Schizosaccharomyces pombe: one gene and its partner. The gene in region 1 interacts genetically with each later gene. Each region holds a gene or a part of one and is shown on either strand. Other genes may lie near its edges.

The links.
Region 2: mutations in spf30 (region 1) and pof15 together harm fitness more than expected from each alone (negative genetic interaction), as found in Schizosaccharomyces pombe (one large-scale study listed by BioGRID).

The regions. Positions count from the first base shown.
Region 1 is NC_003421.2:1,381,269-1,385,388, reverse strand, and holds spf30 (splicing factor Spf30), read left to right. Parts: upstream 1-1,844; 5' UTR 1,845-1,963; coding exon 1,964-2,899; 3' UTR 2,900-3,334; downstream 3,335-4,120. Other genes in the region: chaperone EMC4, read left to right, coding at 776-1,357; cell wall alpha-1,3-glucan synthase Ags1, read right to left, coding at 3,985-4,120. UniProt on the Schizosaccharomyces pombe protein: Involved in spliceosome assembly.
Region 2 is NC_003424.3:1,888,215-1,892,606, reverse strand, and holds pof15 (F-box protein), read right to left. Parts: upstream 2,085-4,392; 5' UTR 1,688-2,084; coding exon 956-1,687; 3' UTR 517-955; downstream 1-516. Other genes in the region: Arv1-like family protein Arv1, read right to left, coding at 1-53; SPOM_SPAPB1A10.13 (uncharacterized protein), read right to left, coding at 3,333-4,392. UniProt on the Schizosaccharomyces pombe protein: Probable substrate recognition component of a SCF (SKP1-CUL1-F-box protein) E3 ubiquitin-protein ligase complex that mediates the ubiquitination and subsequent proteasomal degradation of target proteins.

The DNA of each region.
Region 1 (4,120 bases):
TAAAAAGTTACAAAACGATATGTTCTTTATCCATTGAATATTTGAAAACATCTCAGTGTAAAAATATCAATCATTGAGCATGGTATTACCATTGTAAGATAAAGAGTCAGAACTTTTTCAAGATCAAGATCCTATATCCATAAAAGAAACCAAAACTAATTCCAGCTGTAATCAATAATGATCGTTGGGTTTGATAATTAACAAGAAATCATTAACATTAGATGTTTAAGCGTTGTACATATTCATATCCGGGCCATGAGACAGTAGAAAACCAAAGAAAGCACAAAAGCAAGTTAATCTTGAACTTTTATAACAGGATGGCTTTCTTTTTGCCATTGTTTGCGCTTGTATTTTTGGGATTCATTAGCTGATGGGCTTTTCACTATTACCACCAGTTTCGTTCCTTAGCATCTGCCACCTCCACTATATTGTTTATTTTGAAATATTATATTTTGAGGCGTGTTCTCAAATTATTTAGACCAGAAAATTTTTAACTTCAACCAAAGTTATTAATTTGCTTGAAAAGATTGTTCTACCACCCAACTTACATCAAATAACGAAAAACTGAGATTGACTTCTGGTGAAATATCTTGTTTCAGAAACATCAAATAAGGCTGGTCTTCGTATTTTAGAAACATAATTGAGGTGCTACCAATACTTTTTGACTGTAGGTTAGCTGCAATCAGGCTTTTCATTCATTGACTAAATTTATTCCTTGGTTTACGAGTCCAAAAATTTAGTCGCAACTTTAAATTTCTCTTTTTTCCCTTTCAAGATGCACATTAACGAAGAAACAGATTGGATCGATTTGGTCAAACCAGCGTTAGCAAAGAAGCCCAAAAAGATCGTTGACAATTCTGACAAGTTCCCTACGCCTCGAGGATTTCAACAGAAGTCGTTGGTTTCCAAAAACATTCATTCAGGAAATTCAGCTTCCTCAACTTCCATATTTGCTAAACGAGAGGAAGAATTACAAAAGGATCTCTTACTAAAGAAAGCATGGGAGCTTGCATATTCCCCCCTTAAACAAATTCCTATGAACGCTATTTTAGCATACATGTCTGGTAATTCACTACAAATTTTCAGTATTATGACGACTCTTATGTTGCTTGTAAATCCACTGAAAGCAATAACATCTACAGGATCTGCCTTCACCCCATTTAAAGGCACCCACCCAGGAACCCTTTGGCCCGCTATGGGTGCTTATATTTTATTCCAATTATTGCTTATGGGGATTGGAGTCTATAAGCTGCAAAGAATGGGATTATTGCCAACGACTACCAGCGATTGGCTTGCCTGGGAAGTCTCGAAGGTCTTTATGGATCGATCTTATGGTCCTAGTAAAACTGTTTTGTAAGAATTTCATTTACTCCAAAATTTTAAAGATATACGAGTGAAATCGTTAAATTATAGTACCTCCTAATGCCATTGCTTCTAGCTGACCTAGAAAATAATAAATTCATATAAAGAAGGAATGCTTGGAGTTCGGAAACATATTGTCTTCTGGATTAATAATTTATCCTCCATTATGCGGCATTAAACGTTCAATGCCTTTAATCGATATCATGCACGCCATAAACGAACCTCGAAAATACTTGATTATCCAGTTCTTTTTACCCATCCATAGTTTTCGAGAGCATGAAATTTTTGATAGAATACTTTCTTTTACGTCTTGATTATACTGAATATAGAAATATCAAATATTCTTCTTTGTTTTAACTATTATCAATAATGTCTTAGTATATTGAGTTAAAGAATTAGTGCTTTTAGTATAAATTTAATCTCACTCCAATATTGTTTTCTTCACCCTAGTGTAATAGCTGAGCTTAATTTTCAGGCACTTCACTGAGCGCCTGCTTCACATATTATCTACACTTACAACCGGTTTTGGCGATAAAGCCATTACACTTGGAAATTTTTACTGTTTGAAAAAAAAATCTATTAAATCTATAAAAGTAATCGTATGGAGAAGGAATTAGAGGAATACAAGAGCCAGCTTGCTCTCGTTCAAATTTCTCTTCAGAAGACTCCCCAAAACGAGGAATTACAGTTACTGGAAAATGATTTAAAGGAATTAATTAGCCTTACTGAAAACTTACTACAAGAAAGTGTAGAAAATGATAAAAATACGTTTCAAAATTCCCAAAATGGTGTTGCAGGTTTCAATACTTCAAAGCCAGTACATATCGACTTTACGCCTGGAAATTTAGTAATGGCCCGATGGGTTTCAGGAGATTATTTATTTTATCCTTCACGTATTACTGCTGTTTCAGGCTTCGGTGCAAACAAAAAGTACACAGTACAATTTCTTGACTATCCTGACATTGAAACTGTTTCCCTCAAACATATTAAGGCCATGCCTGAGGAAAAACGTCAGGAAATAGAAGGAAATAAAGAAATTCTCAAAAAATCTACCACTATACGTAGTACACCTGTTAGAGAGCCTACAAAAGCAATATCTGTAGCATCTATGTCTACAAGTCCTTCCAATTATGCGTCTCGTGCCTCTTCTCCAGATATGAAGAGTTCGGCGGCTGTAACGGCTAACGTATCTCCGATCCAAAATGTCGCTCAGCATGTTTCAACCCTACCAAAGATCTCTCCCATTCCTCCCTCTAACCCTCCACCTGTTCCTAGTGTTTCATACTCCCAAAAGCAGCAAAAACAACTAAAACCTAAAGCAGCACTTGAAGCATCACAAAATTCTTGGAAACAGTTTGCTGCTCGAGGTGTAAAAACTGGACGCGTTGGCAAACGAAAGAAGATTGGAGAATCTAGTATATTTAAAAGCACTGAAGATTTTCCTGGAAGGACAAACCCTAAAAATTTTGGAAATGTTGCGAGGTCTGGGCATCGCGAAAAGCACATCTATAATTATAGAGAAGACGAAGATAGCTGAGCAATGTGTCTTCATTTGAAACTTGGTATTTAATTAATAGGCTTTTAACAGCCGCTGTTTATGTTTTCATTTATATATTTTTTGGTGCAATAAGCATAAATAAGCTTTTTACAGATCTTTAACCTAATTTCTGATGAAGCTGTCCTGGTTTTCCATATTTAACAAATTGTTCGTCGCATTGTCTACAGCTATAAAACAATTCTTTTGTTGTTGTTGGTGTATACATTAGAGAGGAATGAGTAATTAGAAAAGAATTATTACCTTTCGCATCTTAAGAATTTAACAGCCATAGACTACTTTTTTATATTCACATCTGCATACGGTTTTATGAATAGCATCATTACTATTTTCTGATGCGAAATAGTCATTTCGTTCTTAAACAATAGATCCATTTCCCGTGACATTTGCTAATTGTATTCCACCAAAATTTGACTTCTTAGTTTACAATAGTTGGTGAAAGTAAATCGGTGGTGGTACTATCTTGTCTCGCCATGCTCTTTTAAATAACGGCAACTTATGTTTTTAATAGCATTGTTACATGATAAACTGAAATATTCTATTTGTCATTCGTATTCTATAAGAGGTATATAAAGCCGTATATGTTGAGGGATCATCCACAGACAGCAATGAAAACTAGCTCCTCTAATATACTAGTATTACAAAAAATCTAATTGTATGAAAGAAATCGGTAAGCATACAAAGGGCGGATAGATTTAATTTTGTTTTAATGGAAACATGTAACACTTATCATAAAATGTAGATACTATGCTAATTGAAATTTATAATGCAATTTATGTATGACCAAGTGATATTCCCTTAAATAAAGCTTAGATATAACACATTCTCGTCAGCAAAGCCAAATGCCAACGGAAACTAGATAAGAATAGTAACAAGGATATGAGGAAGTTAAATAAGGTGGATATAGAATATAATGAAACATAACTTGAAGTATTCATTTAAAAGACCTGATGCTCAACAAGACCGAGCTTGGAGGATATTTTGTTTAAAACATCACAGTAACTGTACATGCTCCGATTTCGTGAACTTCAATTAAAATTTCGCTTTGTAAGACTAAGACTAGAAAACTAAGGACGACTAAGGTTTTCACGACGGAAGAAGGCCAAATAACCTACGCAAATAGCAAGTTGACAAATAATATTAATCCAAAAAGGTGCGCTTGCTAAGATTGAAGAGCCATCACCATGATTCCATTTAGTAAAG
Region 2 (4,392 bases), on another chromosome or scaffold:
CCATAATATGTGTATAAAGAATCGACTTCCGCGCCGCATTCGACGCATTTCATGGTGACGGGTGGTGGTGTCAATGTATTGAGGTATGTTTATGAACCAAACATTCGTATTCTTGGTTGACATGTAAAAACAATGAAGATATATAGAATTTAAAGAAAAAATGAAACAAGTAAGCTTATCTTTATTTGCATAGAAACATAAATACTAAAACTTATCCCAGAGTTCTACCAATTTTAAATTTTATTTGAACACTACCCAATTCCGTTAACAGACGAGTTGTAAAGCCAAAAAACCACCAATGTCAAACCTAAATTTTACAGTTCTTCAATAATATAAACAAATACTGCTTTCACTACATATTTAAAAGATTTGCGAAATAACCACGTCGATTCCAGCATAAAATCACTAACTCTCAAAACAATGCAGACTGACTGGAGCGAAAGAACGTAGTATAGACTTAGTCACATTTACAAGATTAAGCGTCTATTAAAAAGATTTTACAAAGGCTAAAATATTCGTAGAAATGAGAAACGTGAAAACAACATTCAATTGATTGAGCAATTTAAAAAAAGGTAGGTTTTTACTTTTCAGTACAACAAAAAAAAGTTTATTAGAAAAAAAATGTTAAGAAATAAATTTTGTACATGAAGCCAAATGCTGAATGAAATTAAAACAACGCTGAAAAAAAAAACCAGTCGACTGCGTAAAATGTATAAACGCATTTATTAAATGAGAAACCAGGATGTATTAACACAGCAAAACATACATCACAGGTAAATTAAATTTTTAATTAAAAGAATAATAAGTACAAAATGTCAAACAAAGAAGTCGTGAGCGACACAGGCTTGTCAAGCAACGAAAATAAACATTAAAAGAAAACGGAACGCAATCATGATTGTCTCATGAGAATTAAATAATAGAATATTAAACAATGCAGAATGGAAAAAGTTCTTTTTTAATGTACTCTTTTCTCGAGGCAAGATAAAAGGTACTCCGTTTGAACAATAACAGATGTAACAGAAAGATCATACTTTCCAGGAGCAGCATCAACTCTTGTAACAATTAGACCGATGACATGTTGAGTGTTTTGATCAAACCAAAGTGTTTCAGGTTGACCGGGTTTTATCGAATCAAGCCAATCCCGGCGGACACGAATAGGATCTTGAAAGCAAGAAAATATATCGGCTTGATGACGATCGCAGGAAGAACGAGACAAGGTAACGTGAATTCGAACATTGATATGGGGAGCAAGAAACTCCCCAGGGTATCGTTCAAAAGAAGCTAGATCCTCGTCGTCCTCAAAGGAGATTTGAAAAATAGAGGAGCAATTGTTAGGATCCAAGTGGAATACCGAATAACCATCATATTGTAAAGAATACAAACCGCGACGGGCAGACAAGTTGCAAATCGGTGAATCGGTATAGACATCCTTTGCAAAAACGCGAAGTGAATATTCGTCTAAGAAGGAAAGACGAGCACGAATGATCTTGTTGGCAATCAAAGTCAATGGATAACTGGCGAAGCTAGACTGGATAACGTCGTGTGCAGGTAAATACTGCATGACCGAGTCAATGACTTCTACTGGAAGCAGAGTAGAAGATGTTTGTTGAGCGTCGAAATTAACGTAGGAATTAGGTTGAAGGGCAGTCTGGGGTACAGACATGGGGGCTCTAGTAACACAGCTCATTTTTTACCAAACCAAAAAAAAAAAGGTAAGAAATAATTTAAAAAAAAAATCGGGCAATTAAGCTGAATAAATAAAGAGAATATAGCACCGATCGATGGAATGTGAATGAAATGAGATGATGGACGATTAACAAAACAAAATATTTCTATTTCGACCTATTCAAACCTCGATATGCGTTTCTATTATGAAGGAAAAAAGACAGTAAATTGTAAACAATTAAAGAATTAAAATGTCTAAACAAACAAGTAGCTCAAAAAGACGGAATTCCAAAATTAGTGAAAAAAGTAAATAAGCAAACTTCTTTTTCTAAAGCCAAGGAATGACTGTCAACGAGACTAGCAATGGGGAAACCTTGCAATTGAACGCTTTACGTCTCACAATACAAGCCTTGGTTTCTGCAGAATAGATGAAAGGAGATGCTCCTTTTTATAAACTAAAAATTTGGCCTTTTGCCTCCTCTCCCAACTGCCGATATCGTAATTAGAGTTGAAATAAAAATGTCCATTTTGAACCTTAAAGAACGAATGAACGAGCGCCAAGCAGTTATTCCATCAAACCGGATCAACTAAAAATGGCGCGAATGGATCTTGCTACTTTGAAGAGTGGAGATTGGTAAATAGTTAAGCGCAGGAAAAAGTTAGTTCATTCACTTGACCAACGAGTGCAGTATAAAGAAAAAACACTTTTCACTTTTCTTTAAACGACTTACGAAAATCATTTTTTTTTTTTTTTTTTGTTTTCAAACTTCTTGTTTTATTACCACCACCAACTTCTGCCAAATGTTCTGTACCACAAGTCCAGATCTGGATGATACAAAGACTCCTATTAAAAGCAGTTACTGCTCCACTCTACTGTTTTGACAGAAGGGGTTTTGCCTCAGGCCTCGTTACCAGGGAACTGCCGGTAAGGTCTTGGACAAAAAAAAAGCAATGCACTCATAAGGGTACTTGCGGAAAAACTCAAGTTACTGAAATCTATGGCAATGTAACAGCAACAATAACTACTCGTTATACAACAGTCCTGTAAACAAACCGCAGATGTAGTGGGCTACAGTACAACGTTAAAAAACAATGTCGAGTAGAGTTGTAAACAGCATTGCGCTAGTACTCAAGTAGGAGAAAGTAAAAGGATTATCAAGGCAATTAATTATAGGGAAAGAATGAGATGTACAATGCAACATTAGAATAACTAACTTAGAAAACAATGTACAAAACATAAAAATGAGAAGCACAAAAACATAAAACACTAGTACAACGTTAGAAGAATTGGATCCTATAGTGTCGTATAAAGGTAGAATGTTGTTCAAAAATGAATGTCGTGCGAAATAGAATAATATAGGAAGGAAGTTTTTAAGGAAAAAAAAATTAACAATAATTAAAGCAGAGCATAAATTAGGAGAATGCAGAACATACAATACAACAACAAAATAAAAATCAGCACCATCGACTTAGGAACGGTAGCCGAGTTTTGGTGCAGTCAATGTACATTTTCTACAATGTAGTATAAACGACTTTAACTATCAACGTGCGCACATTAGGGTAGAATTCTATCTAACATAAGCAAAGGCAATTCGGTTGACCCGTCCACCCATCCTTGTCTTCTAGTTCCATTAAGCAAACACATGCACGGCCGTAGACGGGTTCGCTCAATGTATAGACGTTCTGTATTCCTCCTTCCACCGTGCCAACAAAGCACGGCTGCAAGCAGGGCTGGGTTGAGAAAACCTCGTCAACTCGACGACCCGTGGAGCACCAGAAAACAAGGATTCCAAGGTAAAGGAGGGAGAAGAGTGTGTACTCGATTCTTTCGTAAACGATGCATGGATGGATGCTTGATTAGAAGGGGAAGTAGCAGGAGATGCATTTGCCGAACGTTGTTGACTAGACTTGATGCCTTGGTTAGTCCAAGATTCTTTGTTTTCGGTAGTTGGTGTTGAGCTCGAGGTAGCATCCGGTAGTGCAGGTTTTTCCGGCTCCACTGGTGATTCCTTGCTTAACGACTTTGTCCTTTCACTACCAGACACATTTCGTAACCCCACTCGATAATTGTTACCTGATCCAGTGCGTCGAGTAACAACCTTACTCTCTAAACTGGCGATGACCTCATTCACATTTGCCGATGGTGCAGCGGTCTGGAGGGGATCTGGGGAAATCACCGATGTGGAAGAGGTGGTGGGGGCTTGTTTTGATACAACATTAACTTGTTCAGTGGGTGTCTTTGTGGAGGAGTCTACAGCAGCAGGCGACTTGGAGGCGGAGAAGGACAAGGGGGATGAGACTTCAACATTGCCACCATTTTCTTTGGCATCCTGGGCAAGAAAGGGTGACTGAGCAATTCGTGGCTTTGTGCGTACTGGCTGTTGGGATGATTTGGATGGTTCCTTTGATGCAGTGTCTTTGGCAGGAGTAGCGGGCTGAAGAAAGGCTTGCATAACATTCTTCACCGTACCAGCCGCTGGCTTTACATCGACATTCTCTTCGTCTGAAGTCTCATTGTTTTGCGGTAAAACCTTCGATTCTAAGAACGGGGTATTTTGGGCTTGCTTAATTCGTTCAGCGATTGACAACGAAGAGTATGGTATTGGAGAAGTCGATCCTTCACGCTTCTCTGCCTTAACTACCATTTCGGGTGTGCTTGCTCCCCTATCGCTATTTGAAGCACTAGTAGCAAGGGTATCAGTATGCGCTGAGGAAGCCTTGCTAGTT